Linked DNA regions of Caenorhabditis elegans. The protein of the gene in region 1 purifies or fractionates together with the protein of each later gene. This does not show direct contact. Each region holds a gene or a part of one and is shown in the gene's direction. Other genes may lie near its edges.

What was found.
Region 2: the proteins of htp-3 (region 1) and rec-8 purify together in Caenorhabditis elegans (affinity purification with mass spectrometry, with the first as the bait; one study listed by BioGRID). This does not show direct contact.
Region 3: the proteins of htp-3 (region 1) and him-1 purify together in Caenorhabditis elegans (affinity purification with mass spectrometry, with the first as the bait; one study listed by BioGRID). This does not show direct contact.

The regions. Positions count from the first base shown.
Region 1 is NC_003279.8:4,825,303-4,830,323, forward strand, and holds htp-3 (HORMA domain-containing protein), read left to right. Parts: upstream 1-1,769; 5' UTR 1,770-1,776; coding exon 1,777-1,833; intron 1,834-1,883; coding exon 1,884-2,037; intron 2,038-2,086; coding exon 2,087-2,190; intron 2,191-2,234; coding exon 2,235-2,347; intron 2,348-2,392; coding exon 2,393-2,544; intron 2,545-2,593; coding exon 2,594-2,687; intron 2,688-2,734; coding exon 2,735-2,919; intron 2,920-2,963; coding exon 2,964-3,328; intron 3,329-3,378; coding exon 3,379-4,374; 3' UTR 4,375-4,494; downstream 4,495-5,021. Other genes in the region: tofu-4 (Twenty One u-rna (21U-RNA) biogenesis Fouled Up), read right to left, coding at 1-173, 219-335, 380-612, 657-764, 813-986, 1,032-1,331; F57C9.4 (C2H2-type domain-containing protein), read left to right, coding at 4,838-4,954, 5,008-5,021.
Region 2 is NC_003282.8:13,348,584-13,354,927, reverse strand, and holds rec-8 (Meiotic recombination protein rec-8), read left to right. Parts: upstream 1-1,734; coding exon 1,735-1,787; intron 1,788-1,836; coding exon 1,837-2,036; intron 2,037-2,081; coding exon 2,082-2,278; intron 2,279-2,326; coding exon 2,327-2,442; intron 2,443-2,884; coding exon 2,885-4,329; intron 4,330-4,826; coding exon 4,827-4,974; intron 4,975-5,446; coding exon 5,447-5,544; intron 5,545-5,598; coding exon 5,599-5,687; 3' UTR 5,688-5,806; downstream 5,807-6,344. Other genes in the region: Zinc finger protein mex-5, read right to left, coding at 47-470, 516-1,036, 1,085-1,198.
Region 3 is NC_003279.8:4,951,630-4,959,230, reverse strand, and holds the start of him-1 (Structural maintenance of chromosomes protein 1), read left to right. Parts: upstream 1-1,563; 5' UTR 1,564-1,570; coding exon 1,571-1,792; intron 1,793-1,841; coding exon 1,842-2,423; intron 2,424-2,672; coding exon 2,673-3,581; intron 3,582-3,633; coding exon 3,634-3,983; intron 3,984-4,040; coding exon 4,041-4,260; intron 4,261-4,447; coding exon 4,448-4,729; intron 4,730-4,826; coding exon 4,827-5,175; intron 5,176-5,310; coding exon 5,311-5,432; intron 5,433-5,713; coding exon 5,714-5,920; intron 5,921-6,617; coding exon 6,618-6,941; intron 6,942-7,199; coding exon 7,200-7,421; 3' UTR 7,422-7,601. Other genes in the region: mzt-1 (Mitotic spindle organiZing protein (MOZART) homolog), read left to right, coding at 1,077-1,104, 1,154-1,221, 1,267-1,374. UniProt on the Caenorhabditis elegans protein: Involved in chromosome cohesion during cell cycle and in DNA repair. Required for chromosome segregation during mitosis. Central component of cohesin complex. The cohesin complex is required for the cohesion of sister chromatids after DNA replication.

The DNA.
Region 1 (5,021 bases):
TTGTGTAGTCGATTGGAACATCTACATGTCCGAGCGATTTCTGCTTAATCCTTTCGCGAATTTCCTTCATCAGTTTGGAGTCTCTTTCCTGCTTTTTTGAATTTGCGACATTATTCAGGAACTTGATGGAAGACTCGTGAGCATTGAATGTGGATTGGAAGAAGACGAGATGGCTGAAAAATATTCTTAATCAATATATATGGTTTTAAAATACTCACGTAAATGGTTCCTGCCATAATAATTCGTCCGGATATTTGATGTCGTTCTTGTCAATAAATCCTGAATGTTGATTTTGAATTGAAGATCGACTGTATCCATGAACGGACTTTGGAGCACTGAAAACATAATATTTATTCATGATATTTCTCTTAACAATTACTTGTAGCTCGCGATCTTCTCCGAAAAAGGGTTCATATTTAGTTCGACGGCCTGTGCCACTTGCTCTTTAGAGTTTCTTGTTTGGTAGAAAGAAAATGAATGCGAAATAATATCCGCTTCATCCTCATCGGAATTGATTTCGTCTCTTTTTGTTGATCTGATTCCGATACCCATCCTTCTCATTGCTTTCCAATCGACTTCAGGATCGTCTTGTTTGATGTCACTTGTCAAAGACTGAAAAATTATTGCAAATATTTAAATTATAAATTCTTACACACCTTCAGAGTCAATCCTTGCTCAGCAAAAGTGTCACAGGTGTAATCATCTGCAAGTTCCAGGTCCGGTCTCTTGATGCGACGTCTTTTAGGGACTCCTTGAGGTCTGGTCTGCAAGAAATCATTTCTAAATTTCAACAACTAGCATTAAAATCCCACCATTTTTCTTCTATACAGTCGCCTTCTTCGTTGCTTCGGCATCGCTTGTGGTTCGTACTCACAAACCACGTCTTCAGTGTCTGAGACTTCCCCATCTAACGCTTTCTTTTTCTTTTTGAGAATCCTGTCGTTCTTCAACCCACGAGCAATTTTCTGCTCTAATTCTCGGACAATCTTAAAGAAGTTAAATCGATAAAAATTTTTTAAAAGGCAGCATACGCGTTCATCCGGTCGCTCGCCTTCGGAACTTTCTGCAGCATCCACCATCGAACTCTTGTGAGTCTCCACAACGTATTCATCATCACTCTCCTCGTCGCTGCTGCTACTGTGATCATCGTCGTATTCATTTTCTGAAAAACTCTTGTTGTCAGTGCCATCTGCCGATGCGGGCGGTACTTCGATCTCCAACGGATCCTCTACAATTTCTGTTTCAGGAATTCGTGATTTCTTCTCGGGCTGGTTCACTCCCGAAGATTCCGCATTTGCTCTTTTTGATGCGCTTCTCGTCGTCGGTTTCATCTGAAATTAATGTCTCATTATTAAATATAGAAGCTTAAAAACACAATAAATGAATAAGTAAAAAACGTTTATTTAAATTTTAAGTGCTTTCATCTGTTCTTTGCACATTTCAAAGCGGTTTCTAGACTCAAAATACATAGAGATATGCTCAGATTTTAATAAACTACAATTTTAAAACTTCAAAATATGAGAAATTCTCTTGAAAGTGCATTTTAAGTAGAAAATGAACGGAAAAAAATTGAAATATAAAAGAAAAAACTTAAAGGTGCATGACATTTCTTCCATGGGTCTCGACACGAGAACACAACATGTTGACCTGAGTTACGGTAAACTTCGGTTGAAATTAGTTATTTTATGTCAAATTATTCATTTATTTTTCAGTTTTTTCTCATTTTCAATTAGTTTTTAATTAAAAAAAATGTTTTAAAATATTTTAAGTGTCAAAATGGACGAAAGCTTCGACTCTTCTGTTGTCCCTGGCTCTCTGACGAGTGATGACAGGGTGAGTAGATTTGACAGAGTTTTTTTTGTCGAGAAAACGAAAATTTTCAGGCTATATTCAACGAGCAAACATTGAAAAATGGTGATGAAAATTCGAAAAGCTCTCTTGAAGTGATGGCCAACTGCGTTTATCTTGCAAACTCAACAATTCTCCGTGAACGGAAAGTTATTCCTGCGGAATACTTCCAGGATTTTCAAGTTTATGGTGAGGTTTTATCTATCTGACTTGCAATTAAGCATGAATTATTTTATAGGAGATGTCAGCGGATATACTTTGCGACAAGACATTCCAGAAGGACGGAGTGTGTCTTCGAAGCTTTTGGCGTCTCATGACGCGATCCGTCAGAAACTCCTTCAGGTACAGTTTTACTCTCGTAAGTGGTAAAAATTCATTGTTTGCAGAAACTCGCTATTGTCGTTGAAGAGTCACTAAACACGAATCCCGTGGAAACGTTTGTCTGGACCTTTGTCTATGACTCAACCACATCTGCAAGTGCCGAAATCGGATACGGAGGGTTAGATCATTTATCTAAATATAAATTTCACTGACTCTTTTCCAGGCGTAAATCTAAATTTGTGGTGAATTATTTAAACATGGATGATACTGCTCAACAGTTTTGCAAGATGTTCAGCGAGCTTAGAAATGTTCTAAGCCTGCTCCGTCCGCTACCAAGAGGCCTCATTCCATCGATGAAAGTAGCATACAGAGGAGGTAAGGTTAAAAATATTTAATTTAAATCATAAATAAATTATTGTTTTAGAACCGGAATTCGTTCCCGGATTTCAACAAGTCGACGATTTTGTGAATCCTGAGCAGATCAATCTTGGTGCTGTTAGTTTTCCTCACGGCAATGGGTTTGTTCGTCATTTCAATCATCAAATTCTTAATTAAATTGATTCAGATTTCAATTCGCATATGCCTCGAAATTCATGGTTGAACAGCCTTCAGCCATTCGTCCACCAGTGGAAGTTTCTCATTTTGAAGATGATTTGCTCAACTCAACGATCACACCGATCGAAGTTGTTCGAGATAACACAATGAATTGTGCTGAGAATCCTGAACTTGACGAAATCTATTTTTCACCAGGTGCGTTTTGTCGAGAAAAAAAATTAATTTTCTAATGTTTATAGGTCGTCAAGAAGTACGTATGGACGAAGATGTGGCAAACGAATCAATTCGTTGTAATCCAAGTATGGCCAGTGAAATGATGGTTCTGCAGTCCGAATATAATGTATTGATTGCTGATAATGATGAAGTTCCAATGGTTGTTGAAAGGGAACGTTCTCCAATAGTGAAAGCTGCAAAGAAACGTTCAACGAGAGCTCCCGCTGTCCCGATAACTCCAACGGAACCGGCTTCTCCCGTGGAGTCCCCGGTGAAAGAGCAACCTCAAAAAGCGCCAAAAGCTCAGATGAGACGTTCCAGTAAACGCACCACGAAGAACAATGAACGATGCGAACAGAAAGAAGAAGAACCAATAGTGAACCCAAAAAGGGTAATTATTTTTATTGTTATAATAAAAATGTTAAGTTCAATAATTTACAGAGAAGTGCTCGTCGGCTTGTACCTCCAGTTGAAGTCGATGAACAGCCAGAAGAACAAAATGATGATGATGCTCAGAATTCTCTTCAAATTGACTCTGATGCTCAGAATTCTCTTCAAATTGACTCTGATGCTATTATCACCTCTCCCGAGAAGAGAAATGAATCAAAGTCTGCAATACCTGAGGAAGCTGCGGATCTAGATAATACTACATCTGAGAAGCAGGAGAGCTCAACAGCAAGATATGGCGTTTCAAATACTTCTATTAACAGGAAAAAACCAGACCCAGTTGCAAATCCGGTTTCGGAAGAGGCTCAGGTAGATTTGGCGAACGGTAGTATCCCGGATAAAAGACCACGGAAGAGAAAATATGGACGAGTGTCGAGTATTCTCGACGTCGCTGATCTGCCAACTGACGATACAGTGGAGGAAGACGTTCGTGAAAGTCCCATCTACGGTCGTGTACCAAGTATATTGGATGTAGCAAGGGCTGAGGAGAACGATGCTCAAAATGATGCTCAAGATGCTCAAAATGAAATTGCTGTTGAGGGACTTGCCGACTTATCAATTGACACCGAGCAGCATGAAGAAGCAGCTCCAATTAATGTTACTGGTCATCAATCGGAGAGCGTTCCAATCATTGTGACGGAGCATCAGTCTGAAGAAGCTCAAACGGTTGTCACGGAGCAACCAGCAGGAGCAGCTTCAGTTATTGCTGCGGAGAGACACTACGGCCGAGTTTCGAGTATTCTCGATGTAGCTGGTTCGTTCGCTGACGTAGATCCATCAGGTGCCGCTCCAGCTATTGCCACAGAGAGACACTACGGCCGAGTTTCGAGTATTCTTGATGTAGCTGGTTCGTTAAGTGACGTAGATCCACAGGAAGATACCGAAAGCTCCACTCAAAACCAATCGACTTCCAAGAAATTCAAACCAAACCCTCCAAAGGCAATGAGGTACGGCCAGTCGCCGAACATGCCAAGTAGAAGAGGAAACTGAACGATTTCTGGACAATCGTGTACAATTATCAATCTGTTCCATTTTTTTGTTGTTTCTTCGATTTCCTTTTTAATAGTTGGACAAATGCCTTAGTTTTCGAATGAATTTTTTAAATATTAATTTTCATATCCGATGATGATGGGAATTTGTTAAAATACAAAATATTACTTGCATGTGATGAAATATTTAGAGCTATTCAAGTATTTTCCAGCGTTTCAGAATTCTTTCGTTGGCGTTCTTTTTTGAACATAGCGCCGTTTTCTTTCTCAAAGGAGCGCGGTGACATACACTTGTTTCCCTTTTTTCAGTGGCCGTTCGCTCTTTACTCTAATCGATTTCACTTTGGCATTCTGTTCTTATTCCAGCTAAAGTTTTTAAGAATTGTGTTTTTTTAATGAATTTCTCTTTTTGGGTTCTATTTAGTTCGCCACATTTTGAAAAAAATCAACGTTTTTCAGGATAAATGACATCATTAATCGATTCGAGGGTGCTCTACGAGAGTGATTTTTCCATTTTCAACGGTCGACTATGTTCTCTACGCATATCAGCTGTTACCAATAATGAAGAGGGTATTGAAAAAGTGAGATTAATTGGAGATATATTGATTTTTAAATAAAAATAATTAATTTTCAGATTCGAATAACGTC
Region 2 (6,344 bases), on another chromosome or scaffold:
AAATATGTTAAAGTTTCAAAAATGATGAGCAAAAGTGGAAACTCACATATGGAGGAATATTCTGGAATTCCTTGTCCGTTGGATGAACAAACTCGCAACGAAGTCCATACGGGCAGAATCCAGTTCCTCCACGCGCAAAGTTCTTGCACAGCTTTGTCTTGTACTTGTTGTTCGGATAGCGAGCCGGAGCATCAGTAGCTCTGAGCTCTTTGAGCCCATGAGCAAACTTGCATCGAGCACCCATATCACATGGTTTGATTCCAGATGCGTGCATCATGCAAAGACGAGTCTTGTAGTTGGGTGGTTGTTGACTGTCAGTTTCTGGAATTGGGAATCCACGACGACCGAACTTCTCGCCACGATGTTCATGGAAATGATTTTCCTTTTCAGCGCTCATCGTGTCATCGTTGTGATTGTCAAGGGTGATCTTTGAGATCTCATCGATCGGCAACTCGTCATGCTCCATAACACTGAAAAACATATAATTTTTATATTAAATTTCAAACTAATATTACCGATGATATCTGAATTGGATGTTCCTGTTGCGATTATCACGCTGAACAGTCTCGTATTCGAGACTTGTTGGAAGAGGAGTAGACGAGGTCAATGGAGCTGTGCGTGTGCTACTAATCTCCACTCCCACTTGTCTTGGCTGTTGTTGAGGTGGAATTGCCGGCTGCGTATGTGGCATCACACCCATTTGTTCTGGAAGCATCGGTGCGGCTTGCATAGGATGGAAGTACATTGGAGCCGCTTGTGGAGCCATTGATTGTTGATAATAGATGAGCTGTGGTTGTCCTGACTGCATGACTTGCTGAGCTCCTTGTTGTGGTTGAGCCATATAGAGATACGGTTGACCAGAAACCATCATGTGCTGTTGAGGAGCCATTGATCCGTTCGCGGGAACCTGCACATACTGTCCGTTGGCATCTTGATAATATGGAGCCGCTGGGGCGTACTGTTGAGAAGATCCATTTTGTGCCGCATACGTCGCCATTGGCTGGTTCGGCATGGCAGCCGCGAAGTAGTACTGCATCTGAAAAATATAACTGTAATATTATCAACATTTGTTGATTGTGAATACCTGTTGATCGTAGATTTGAGGATGTGACGACTGCCCTGGTGGTAGTGGTGGCTGGGTTGTCGTAGGTGACACTGATCCTCCGGCCGACGAGACACTATTTGATGCCGCTTTCATTCTCTGTCTGAAACATTCAATTGATTATCGATAAAATTAATTAAGAGAGAATACAATGAGAAAACGGAAAATCGAGCAGGATTTTGGGGAAAGTCGGGGAATTTTTGCTATTTAAGCTTTCTTTAACAAAGAAACTGCATTTTTCCATGAGATTACCATGAAATTTGCGTTAAATGGGTGAATTTATAACATTTACGGCTAGAAATTAATTTTAAAAAAGAGAATAAACGAAAAATTATTCGAGAAAACGTCTTTGAAGCAGAAATGAAATGAAAAAACAACCGCCAGCGCTGACAAAAATGATCAAACAAACGGAGTACGGTATACGCGGTAAGACCCAAATGAATTTTAATTCGGTGCGCCTTTAAAAAATGTATTTTTTTAATTTCTTTATCCGTGGGCCCAAATGTATTTTTTTCTTGTGGTTTGATGTAAAAATTGGGTTATATTATTTGTTTTATGGTTTAATTTTTTAAAAACTGATATTTTGCCGTTGTGAAAACCGTAAAATCAGTCGAAAATGTATTTTCTTGCAGATGGTTGTCTCTGCGGAAGTAATTCGAAAAGATGCCGTGTTTCACGTGGCTTGGTGAGTTTTCTCATCTTTTCAATCTAATTTATAATTTCTGCTTTTCCAGGATTCTTGGTACCGGCGACTCGAAAAAGCTGTCACGAAGAGAGATTTTGGACCAAAATCTCCCGGAACTGTGTCATTCAATCATTGAAATGGTTCCCGAACGGCACAGGGGCTCAGCAACAAAAACTGGACTTTATTTGCTATCCCTGCTCACATATGGAACAGTTTTGATCCATCAAGTTCAGGTTGATTTCTTGAAACGTGAGTTGGAGAATTGTATCGTCAGAAATCAATTAATATTTTCAGGAGACGTCGAGAAGCTCAAAGAGCTCATGAAGAAGAAAAGTTTCATTTTGCTGATGGCTGAAAGGTTCGACAGAAACCAAGAGTTGCAGAGAAAAGAAGATAAATTCGCAAGACTGAGATCTAAGCCTATTATGTGCGTCGAGGAGTTGGATCGGGTTGATTTGGCTCATTTACAAGCAATTGGCGACGAATTGGGAGTGAGTTCAAGTTAATTAAATAATCAATAATCAAGAATATTCTTCTAGATCAATGGAAATCCAGGAGACTTTATAATGATGGATGCGTTGCCCAACATGAATCAGTGGATTGACAATAATTCAGAATTGAATGCGATCTATGGATGTGTTGAGCCTTACCTGAGGTTCGGAACTGAATAATCGATCCCAGATTTTGAAAAAAAGCAGCGACGCACATGAACCCTGCGGCACGGTTTTTCACCTTATTTCAATAAAATTTCGATTTTCCTTGATTTATTCGCATTTTGCGTATGAAAATGCTATCCAATTAAATTTGCATAAGATTGCGAGGATATTTCCTGTTTTTACAACCAATGAAGCTCTAAATATCCTTATAATCTTATGAGAATTTATGCGGATTGCATTTCCATTCGAAAAAAAGAGAATAAACCAATTACAATCGAAATTTTATTTTAAAAAAATCAACAAAAGCTCTGAAAAAACCGTGCCACAGGGTAGAGAAATTACACTCCGCCTCTATTTCTGTGCGACATTGCTTTTTGCAAAATTGATGGATTGATAGTTTAATTTTAAATTAATTTCAAAAGTAAAATTTTCGTGTTTCAGAGAAAAAGAAATCACCATGCACTCCACGTTTGTCGAGGGTAACGGTTCAAATGAGCACAACAAGGAACGACGAAATGACGCGGTAATTGCCGACTTCAGCCAACTTTTGTTCCCTGAGATCCCTGAAATCACACTTGGCGAGAAATTTCCGATAGATGTCGATTCCAGAAAACGATCTGCTATCCTCCAGGAAGAGCAAGAAGAGGCTCTTCAGCTCCCCAAAGAAGCTTCTGAAATTGTGCAAGAAGAGCCTACAAAATTTGTCTCTATTGCTCTGCTCCCGAGTGAAACCGTGGAACAACCAGCACCCCAGGAGCCTATTCAAGAGCCCATTCAACCAATTATCGAGGAGCCCGCGCCACAGCTTGAGCTTCCACAGCCAGAGCTTCCACCACAACTAGATGCAATTGATCTTGTCACCATTCCAGCGAGTCAGCAGGATATGGTTGTTGAATATCTTCAATTGATCAACGATTTACCCGATGACGAGAACAGCCGACTGCCACCATTGCCGAAAGATTTAGAATTGTTTGAAGATGTAATTCTACCACCTCCAGCAAAGAAATCAAAAGTCGAAGAGGAAGAAGACGCGTTGGAAAGAGCACGAAGAAGACCATCATCGCGTCCAGTAACTCCGATTAATCAAACCGATTTGACAGATCTTCATTCAACTGTGCGACCGGAAGATCCGAGTTTCGCAATAGACTCCCAAATTCATGATGTTCTACCTCAACGGAAAAAATCGAAACGCAATCTGCCGATCATCCACAGCGATGATCTGGAAATCGACGAAGCTGTGCAAAAAGTGTTACAAGCCGATTATTCCTCACTGGTTCGTAAGAAGGAGGATGTAATAGCAAAGATTCCACCAAAAACGGATGCAGTCGCGGTGCTCATGAACTTACCAGAACCAGTTTTCAGTATCGGATATCGTCTTCCTCCAGAGGTTCGGGATATGTTCAAAGCTTGTTATAATCAAGCTGTTGGAAGTCCAGTGAGCGATGATGAAGAGGATGAAGATGAGGAAGAAGAGGAAGAATATAAATATGCAAAAGTTTGTCTTCTGTCTCCAAATCGCATCGTTGAGGATACTCTACTTCTAGAAGAGCAACCTCGTCAACCTGAAGAATTTCCATCTACGGATAATATCAACCCGCCAAGACAGCTACAGGAGAATCCAGTTTTTGAGAATTTGGAATATGAAGCGCCCCCGCATCCAATAAGAACTGCTCGTACGCCCACGCCGATCAAAGATTTGAAATATTCAGTTATTAGTCTGTTCCCAACTCCAGAGAAACGCCGGGAGACGAGCATCATTGCTGAACTGAATTTGGATCCTATTCCAGTTGAAGAAATTGATCCACTTTTGACGATGAGAACCGAAGAAGAACTTGAAAATGTTCGACGCCGTCAAAAAAGCAGTTTAGGGGTTCAATTTATGAGAAGTGAGATATTTTAATGTCGATTTAGTGTTGAAAATAATTTTTGCCGAAAATTGCCGAAAATGTTTAAATTGGGCAGTTCTCGAATTACCAAAAAAAAATTCCAATTTTCGGAATAAAAGGTCAAAAATGTTTCGATTTTTTCCTCGAAAATCGAAAATTCTTACATTTTCAGAGAATGAACGATAAAAATCACATTAAATCATAAAATCAATTTTTTTTTTGCTCATAAAAAAAATAAGAAAACATATAATTTTATTCTTTAGAATATCTTGGATTTCTTTAGGTAGAAAATGACCAAAATTGTTTTAAAAAAATAAGCAAACCGATGGTTTGTGTCGGGCTTTTGGTTTTTTTTTTACTAAAGTAAAAAACATTATTTTTGGATTTTTGAAAAATCGAGAATTTTCGTTGTTCGATTTTTTTGTTATACTCGCCGATTATTTTTCAAACTTTCGGTTGTCGCCCCCACTTTATAGTTTAAAATAAAATATTTTCAGCTGACGATCTGGAAGAGGATACTCGCCGTAATCGACTATTCGAGGATGAAGAACGGACTCGAGATGCTAGAGAAGATGAACTATTCTTCTATTCATCTGGAAGTCTCCTTCCCAATAATCGGCTCAACATCCACAAGGAATTGCTCAAGTGTGTATACTAACACTAAAACAGAAAGATCGACCTGCAAATTTTGCAAGGCGCCGCACACAAAATGAGGCGGAGCGTCGTTTTTTTAAACTTGCGGCTCGCCAGCCATTGTGGAAAACTGTAAATAAATTTTTGTCTAAAATGCTTGATTTCGGATAATTTTCGCTTATTTTTTTGTGTTTAATATTCGAAATAATCTAAAAATTTGGAGTTTATTCAACGAAAATTTGCCATTTTCGCCGGAAAAATACCATAAATAGTCAGTTTATTTCGAATATTAACAACAACGAAATTAGCGAAAATATTCCGAAATCCAGAATTTTCGCGAAAAATTATTTCATAGTTGTCCACGAGCCGCAGGCTTGCAGAACAACACCCCGCCTCTTTTTCTGTGCGACGCATTGGCAGGTCAATCGCTCAGTTTTGATCGTAATTGGAACTACGAAAAATCAAAAAAAAATCAATTTTTCAGCGAAGCAGAAGCAAGATATCCAGAATGGGTGAATTTCAATGAATTCACTGCGGATCACGATCGTAAAAAGGCAGCAACCGCCTTTGAGGGCCTTCTTTGTAAGATATTTAGTCGTTGAGACACAAATTAAAATAAAAATAAATATTTTTCAGTGAGTCTCAAGAATATGAAGGTTGAAGCGAAGCAAGAAGATCCTTATTTTCCAATTCTAGTACGTCACATCAGCCACGAAGAAATGTGAAGCTGCTAATATAATTGATACTGTATCATTTCCCAATTTTTCATAGCTTCCATTGTTTTGTTGTATTTTATTGCTTTGCCTTGTTCGTTAATCTTTAAAACTGAAAACTACTGTACCATTCATTTTTTTAACTTTTTTTCCTGTTGTTAAACGACTCTAGCTAGGGCTGTTATGAGGGACGAAAAGGGGCGCCCCTCGTCCCCTCGTGGGGGCGCTTCCTTCATCCAGTGCGAAAAATGTGCGTTTGTATCCTCCATGTCGATAGCAAAACAAGTTATGATTTTGCTTCATAATTATTAAAGTGACACGTTTTTTGTGTGGAATATCCACGATGGACCCGCACAATTTAACGGAAACGAGTTTCACGTAAAAATATTTTAAATGAGGTGAATATCTAATATAAGTAAAAATGAATAGGACGCGACTTTTCGTCACATCGGGGACGAGGGTCGTCCCCCATCCCCCAACCAGGGGACGGGGGCGTCCCTCGCCCCCATGAGGGGGACGAATGATCGCCCCCGCCCCCCAAAAAGGGACGTCCCTCATAACAGCCCTAACTCTAGCTAATAAAAATTGGTAGGAAATACAAAATATTAATTTATGAAAACGTGAATAATATGACCCGGGTGAGTATATAAAATATAATTATTTATATGA
Region 3 (7,601 bases), 130 kb from region 1:
ATCCTGTTTTGGGAGGCCCCACGAAAAGGGGAGCAGAACGAAAAGGCGATCTGCAAAAAGGGGATCTGCGAAAAGGGGAGATACGAAAAGGGGAGATACGAAAAGGGGAGCAACGAAAAGGGGAGCTGGCACTGTGCCAAACGCACAAAACGCAATTTTTCTCACGCAACGCACGTTGATTTTTGAAATTTTCTTCTAGAAGATACGCTTAACAACACGCGACGCGTAACATCGGAGCATCGTTGTATCGTTTTCTTCGAGAAAAATAGCGTTTGGCACAGCCAGATCCCCTTTTCGTTGCTCCCCTTTTCGTATCTCCCCTTTTCGTATCTCCCCTTTTCGCAGATCCCCTTTTCGTTCTGCTCCCCTTTTCGTGGGGCCTCAAACGTGACTTCCAAAATCGCCGCGAGACCCGAACGACTGAGTCTGTGTCCCTTTAAATGTATATTTACGGCAGCCTTTCAGAGAAATTTTTCAATTCATTGCGATTTCCTTCACATATTTCGTTGTTTTTTTTAATTTAGTACTATCAGAAAAATAAAAAATTGACTCTACCATGCAAAAAAAAACAAAAATTTACACTAGGTTTGACGAATTTAACTACTTCTCTTCGATCTGTTGCTTTATGTAAATAGTTGTTTTCTTATTGAAAATTGTATTTTTTATTGATGTTCTCAGCAAGTTCCGCGTACTAACTCAGAGTTTTTGAATCAGCGTGGCATTAGGAATGCTCTTTTACAACATTCTCTGTTGTTTTTTCTCTAATAATCTTTAACTTTTCAATACTAACTTCTTATTGTTTTTATTACCTTTTGTACCATCTTTATCACGAAATATTGCAAGAAATTCATTTTAATATTCCTCCAAAAACAACACTACGACACTCCGCAGTAACATTTATGCGTTTCGTTTAGCGTCCTCACATTTCAAATTTGAACCTGTTCATCTAACGATACTAAGTGATTTTTCGATAATTTATGCTTTATTATTGTTATTTCTGACAACAACGGATTGAAATTATATTTTTCTATTTAAGGATCATCAATTTCACTTATCTCCCCGTTATTTTATCGATTATGAGCGACCCAAAGAAACACACCCAGCGTAAGTTGAATTTTTTCAATATAAATCGATAATGTTTTTACATTTACAGGCATTGTTGAAATGGGAAAATTTCTAAATGTTTTCCTCACAGCTGAGCAGGTTTCGTCAGTGGAGAGGGTGAGATTTTATCGATTTTCCCAGTATTTTATTCACTTATTTCAGTTACTATCACTGGGCGTTTCACCGTTGAACCTTGTCCGTCTTATTCAAAACCTTGGAACTCCCAGCACACAGAGTTCACCAAGCAATCGGGAAAATGCATTGTCATGATTTAATCAGCTCCTCAAATTATCGGCAAACCTGGTCATAATGTATATTCACTTTTTTTAAAATAAACTAAACTGGTTTCTCATTATTATCTATTTTTATTTATTCCATGTATGATATTGGTTTATCTACCAAAAATTACCTCACCATTCTTATTCTTGTTCAACTATAACTTTTTACTTAATTCTTCAGACTAATAATGCGTGGCGGAAGCTCGCTGGATAGTTTTCCAGGCAAAGGAACTCTCCACACACTCGAGATCGAAAACTTCAAATCTTACAAGGGAAAACATACTATTGGACCCTTTACAAGATTCACAGCTATCATTGGACCAAATGGTTCAGGAAAATCAAATCTTATGGACGCAATTTCGTTCGTGCTCGGAGAGAAGCCAAGCAGTTTGCGTGTTAGAAAGTATGCGGTAAGAGAAAAAGTATAAAATATAGAAGATTTTAATCAATAATGTTTAGGATTTGATTCATGGTGCACCAATTAACAAGCCAGTTGCTAAGAAATGTCGTGTCACTATGAACTACAAATATTCTGACGGAAAAGTCAAGGCATTCACCAGAGGCGTCAATAATGGAACATCTGAACATCTTCTTGATGGTCAAACTGTCACAAGTGCAGCATATTCACAAGAAATGGAAAGTATCAATATCTTCATCAAGGCAAGAAACTTTCTGGTATATCAGGGAGCTATCGAAAATATTGCCATGAAAACTCCAAAAGAACGTACTCAACTCTTCGAGGAGCTCTCACGATCACACGAGTTTCAAGCAGAGTATGAAAGATTGAAAGTTGAGATGACAAAAGCTGAAGATGATACTCAACACAATATGAACAAGAGACGAGGAATCGCTCAAGAGAAACGTGAGGCAAAAATGGAGAAAGATGAAGCTGAAAAGTATCAAACCATGAAGAATGAGCTGGCTGCAAAATCGACGATGCTATTTCTCCATCAATTGTTCCATTGCGAACGGACGATCGACGAATCAAAAGAGGAGATCAACGCTCAGAAAAAGACGATTGCAAGTCTCGAAGCAACTAGGGTATGATGAAGGCAATTCTACTAAATGACGTTCTTCCAATATTTTTCATTCATATTTTGTGATAAACTTTAGAAAAATATTTTCTTTATCTGAAAATTACTTATTTAACTTGGAACAACTTAAAAAGCAGTTCTTCCAAGTTATACAAAAGTTATTTTCCGGTGAAGCTAATATTGTTCAATATTTTATCGTAAAATTTTGATTGATTGATTTATAGTATATAAAAATAATCAAAATTATATATTACAGTCGAAAGAAGAAGCGAAAATCGCTGCGGTTCATCAGGAGCACCGGAAAGCTCTCCGCGAGGTTCAGAAGATGACAAGAAAACTCGATCAGAAAGAGACGGATTTGGCTGAAAAGCAACAAAATATGCTGACATTGAAAGTTTCCGTTGCTCACGAGCACAAGAAGCTGGAAATTGCGAAGAAGATGCTTGCCGCTGCAGAAAGTAAGGCAGAGAACAACTCGACTCAGCTGGCGGATTTGAAGAAAAGCAAAAAAGAGCTAGAAAAGAAGAAGGCCGCATATGAAGCAGAGATTCAGGATATGATGCAAAGAGGCGAGTTAAATCTTTCGGATGAACAAGTACGTGAGTACGGACAGCTGAAAGATCAAGCTCAGCGAGAATCAGCAATGGTTCAAAGAGAGCTATTGATGGCCGAACAAGTGTTCGAAGGTGATAAGAGTTCTCTAAATCATGAGCTTCGACGCCAAAAGGAGCATCAAGAAAGAGTTAAAGCGAAGGAAGGTGATGTGCGAAGAATTGAAACTCAAATTGCAACTCTTGCTCAAAGAATCAAGGAAACTGAAGAAGAGACAAAGATCTTGAAAGCTGATCTTAAGAAGATTGAAAATGACGTTGTTATTGATAAATCAGCAGCAGCGGAATACAACAAAGAGCTTGTAGCTGTCGTTCGTCAACTCTCCGAAGCTTCTGGAGATTCTGCAGAAGGAGAAAGAAATCAAAGAAGAACGGAGGCACTTGAAGGATTGAAAAAGAATTTCCCGGAGAGTGTGTATGGTAGACTTGTCGATCTCTGTCAACCGTCTCATAAACGGTTCAACATTGCCACCACAAAGATTCTTCAGAAGCATATGAACAGTATTGTTTGTGATACTGAAGAGACTGCTGCCAAGGCAATTGTTTATCTGAAGGTTTGTTCTTTTTTCACTTCCAAAATTTCAATTCATAATAACTAATTTCCAGGATCACCGTTATCCCCCAGAAACCTTCCTTCCAAATGATGCACTAGTTGTTAATCCACTAAATGAAAAACTTCGTGAAATCAAAAAGCCAGCTGGAGTGAAGCTCGTCTTCGATGTCATCAATCCTCAACATCAAGCAGCTAGAAAAGCTCTTCAATTCGTTTGTGGAAACGCATTAGTTTGTGAGAGTCAAGAAGATGCTAAGCAGCTTGCATACGGTGGAGGAGAGCTGAAAGATCGTTTCAAGGCAGTTTCGATGGACGGAACTCTGTTCCAACAATCTGGAGTTATGTCCGGAGGTTCTGCTGATTTGAGACAAAAGTCCAAGAAATGGGACGAGAAAGTTGTCAAGTGAGTTTTTATTTTATTTTTTATTAAATTGAAAAAAAAACATTAATATTTTTCCAGACAACTCCGAGAAAAGCGGAACCAACTGAACGAAAAAATCGCGGATCTTCAGAAACATCGTCGTCGTGAACTCGAAGTGGAAAGTGTACGCTCCAAGATTAATGGAAATGAGCAAAGATTGGCAATGATGAAGCGAGATCTGAAGAATATGCGAGAAATGCAGTTGGAAAGACTTCAAAATGAGCTTGAAGGCATGACCGCGGAGATGAATATGCTTCCGGTGATTATTTTTAGTGACCAACGGTTCTGGAAAAAAAAAATTATAACCCCAAAAAGTGCTCAACTTAACGAATTTCGTAATGAAAATTCTCAAAAATCTTTCAAAAATTTATTTATTTTGGAGCAAATTTTGGAGCCATTAGACCTCCTTTTAAATTTGTAATCTGCAAAAATTGATATATTTTCAGCCGCGAATCTCGAATTGTCAAGAAAAACTTGAACGCAGTGAAAGTACTTTAAAATCTCTGCAAACGAAGAGCAATGAAGTGGCTGATCGAATTTTCGCTGATTTCTGTACTCGTGTTGGAATCGCATCGATTCGTGACTATGAGAATCGTGAAATGCGTATCAAGCAAGAAATGGAAGACAAGCTTCGATCATTTGACGATGATATCCAAAAGTTGGCCTACGAAATTGACTTTGTCACCGAGCAAGATGGCAATCGGAAAGTTGAAGTTGAAAAGGAGAAAGTACGTTTTTCATTTTTTTGTAAAGAAACTCCTTATCAGTTTCTTTAAGATTCTTAAAATTGTTTTGTTTACCTTATTTGAAATATTTTTATTACAGGTTTCACAAATCGACCGACAATATAAGGACATGAAGAAAAAAGAGAAAACGGCGGCGGCCGCTTTGAAAGAGCACACGGAATCCATGGAGCAAGACAAGGAAGTGCTGGAAGAGAAGAAGGCCTTATCACATAAATTGGAAACCGAGTGGAATGAGGTCAAAAAAATTGCACAAGTTGCGATGAAAGACTTTACAAAGGCTGAAAAAGAGCTTCTTCGTCTTGAAAGTTTGCTTACTAAGAAGCAATATGAACGGCACTCTCTTCTTCATTCTGTGAAGCTTGGGCAAATTGCGTTACCACTCAAATCAGGAAGTATGGCTGACGTTGAATATGAGGAAGATGATGGAGGTTGGATATTTATTTTGATTTTGATGTTTTGAAAAAATCGCATTTTCACTTTTCCATAATTCAGTTTTCAGCTTTTAGATATATATTTCATAATTTTTGTCTCCCTGTTTCCTTTCAAGTTCCAATTAATTTCAGATGACACAGCTTCTCAGTCTTCTCAATCAGCCACCGATGGTCCAAGTGTATCAGAGGAGCAAATTCAACGAGAGCAACACATCAAAATCAACTACGACTCGTTACCGCGAGAATATAAAGATGTTAGTGCTGCCAAGACATGTTTCGGTTTTCTGAGCAAACCGAAAAAATACTGGCAACAAAAATTTATTTATTTTTTCTGAACTATTTTGACCCTAAATTTTTTCGATTTTTGAGCCAAACAAAATACGAAAAAAATCTACTTTTTCGGTTTAAAAAAAACCAGCAGTCCTGTTAGTGATGGTTGCTGATCAAAAATTATTTGCTCTTTTGCCAACCCCGCCCCGCCCTGCCCCCCTCCGTGTTTTAGTTCATTTCTAGATTCACACGATTTGCATTACAGGTGGATGACGATGATGGTGTACGGCAAATGTCGAATCGACTCAATGTGGAAATCGATGAACTGCAGAAAAATGTGTCAAAAATGAATGCGCCGAATTTGAAAGCCAATCAGAGAATGGCAGAGGTGAAAGAACGAGAAGCCGAGTCGACTGAAGAACTTGAAAATGCTCGAAAGAAGGCGAAGAGAATTCGGCAACAGTTCGAGAAGGTTAGTTATTAAGAAATTCCAAACGTTTAGTATCTGAAAATGTATCGATAAAAATGAAAGTTTAGGAGAGCTTCGAATCCATTTTAGACATTGAAAAATTTAGATTTTACACATAATTTTGTGGGCCAAAATAAAAAAAATTCCTTGACTAGATAAAAACTAGAAAATTAGCTAAAAAATATATATTTAAAACCTACAAAATGCATTATTTTTTAAATGTCAAAAATGGATTCAAATCAGGAGTGGGCATCAGTTATTTTTTCAAAGTATAGAAAATCTCTTGATTTATCTGAAAAGAACATTTATTTCAGTCAAAAGATTTGATAAAGTACTCAAAAAATGTTATTTTCACAGATATCGGGTGATTTTTTACATTTTGACATTTTTTAAATTAAAAACGTTGAACCAACATGTTTGAATCACCGAAAAAAAAACCGCTTCATTAAAATAATTTTTTTGCGATAATTTTCCTATACTGAAAATAAGAATATTCTTGAAATTCCTTGAAATGAAAATGTGCACCTTCTGGACACCAAGTGACAAAAACATTAGAGATAAGAGACATAGACATTCATAACTTTAAAATGACAACAGTTGTACCCATATTGTCACTCAATCTGTCCCCTCTATCTCTCACACCTCTTCAATTTCACTTTTCTCATATATTTTATCGATTTTAAAATATTGTTTTTTTCAGGTAAAAACCGATCGCTACCGACGCTTCCAAGATTTCTTCGATCCTGTGGCCAACACTATCGATGACATTTACAAGCAACTCTCACGAAATACTTCTGCTCAAGCCTTCCTCGGAGCTGATAACATGGAAGAGCCCTATCTGGATGGTATCCAGTACAATTGTGTAGCTCCTGGAAAACGTTTCCGTCCGATGGATAACTTGTCTGGAGGAGAAAAGACAATTGCCGCGTTGGCACTGCTTTTTGCAGTTCACGGACGTAATCCTGCTCCGTTTTTCGTTCTCGACGAGATTGATGCTGCTTTGGATAATACTAATATTGGAAAGGTATTTATTTAAACTGTTCATTAAAATTAAATTTTGCTTCAAAAGATAGAAAAATGACTGTAATGACCGAATATTACTGTTGTAAAACACAAAAATTATAAAATAAGGGTAAATCCTCCGGTTTTTCTGCATATTTTTGATAGTTGATCTAAAAAACTATCAAACTATCAAACTTTTAAGCAAAATTTCAAAACGATTTTACTCCGCCTTTAGTATAACCTGCGAGAAAAGATTGTAACGTTTTTTTTGTAATTTCAGGTCGCTTCGTACATCTGTGAATCAGCTCGTGAGCATATGCAAATTATCGTCATTTCTCTCAAAGAAGAGTTCTACAACAAAGCTGACTCACTCATCGGAATCTTCCCATATCCAGCCGCTTGTACAACATCTGGTGTTCTCACTTTCGATTTGACGCGCTTCAAACAAATTGGTCTCAATGAAATGACTGAAAATCCACCAACACCATCGATTGCAACATAAATTATATAAATTTTTGACAACCGCGACTATCAAATCATCTGTATAATTTCATTATTACTATTCCCTTACCCCTCATTATTTCTTAATTATCAAAAACCGATTCACTCAGTCACACAGTTCCCCGCATTTAAAGGTCTCAAACGTTTTTCCCTCTTCTCTCTTATACATTACTGTTTTTAT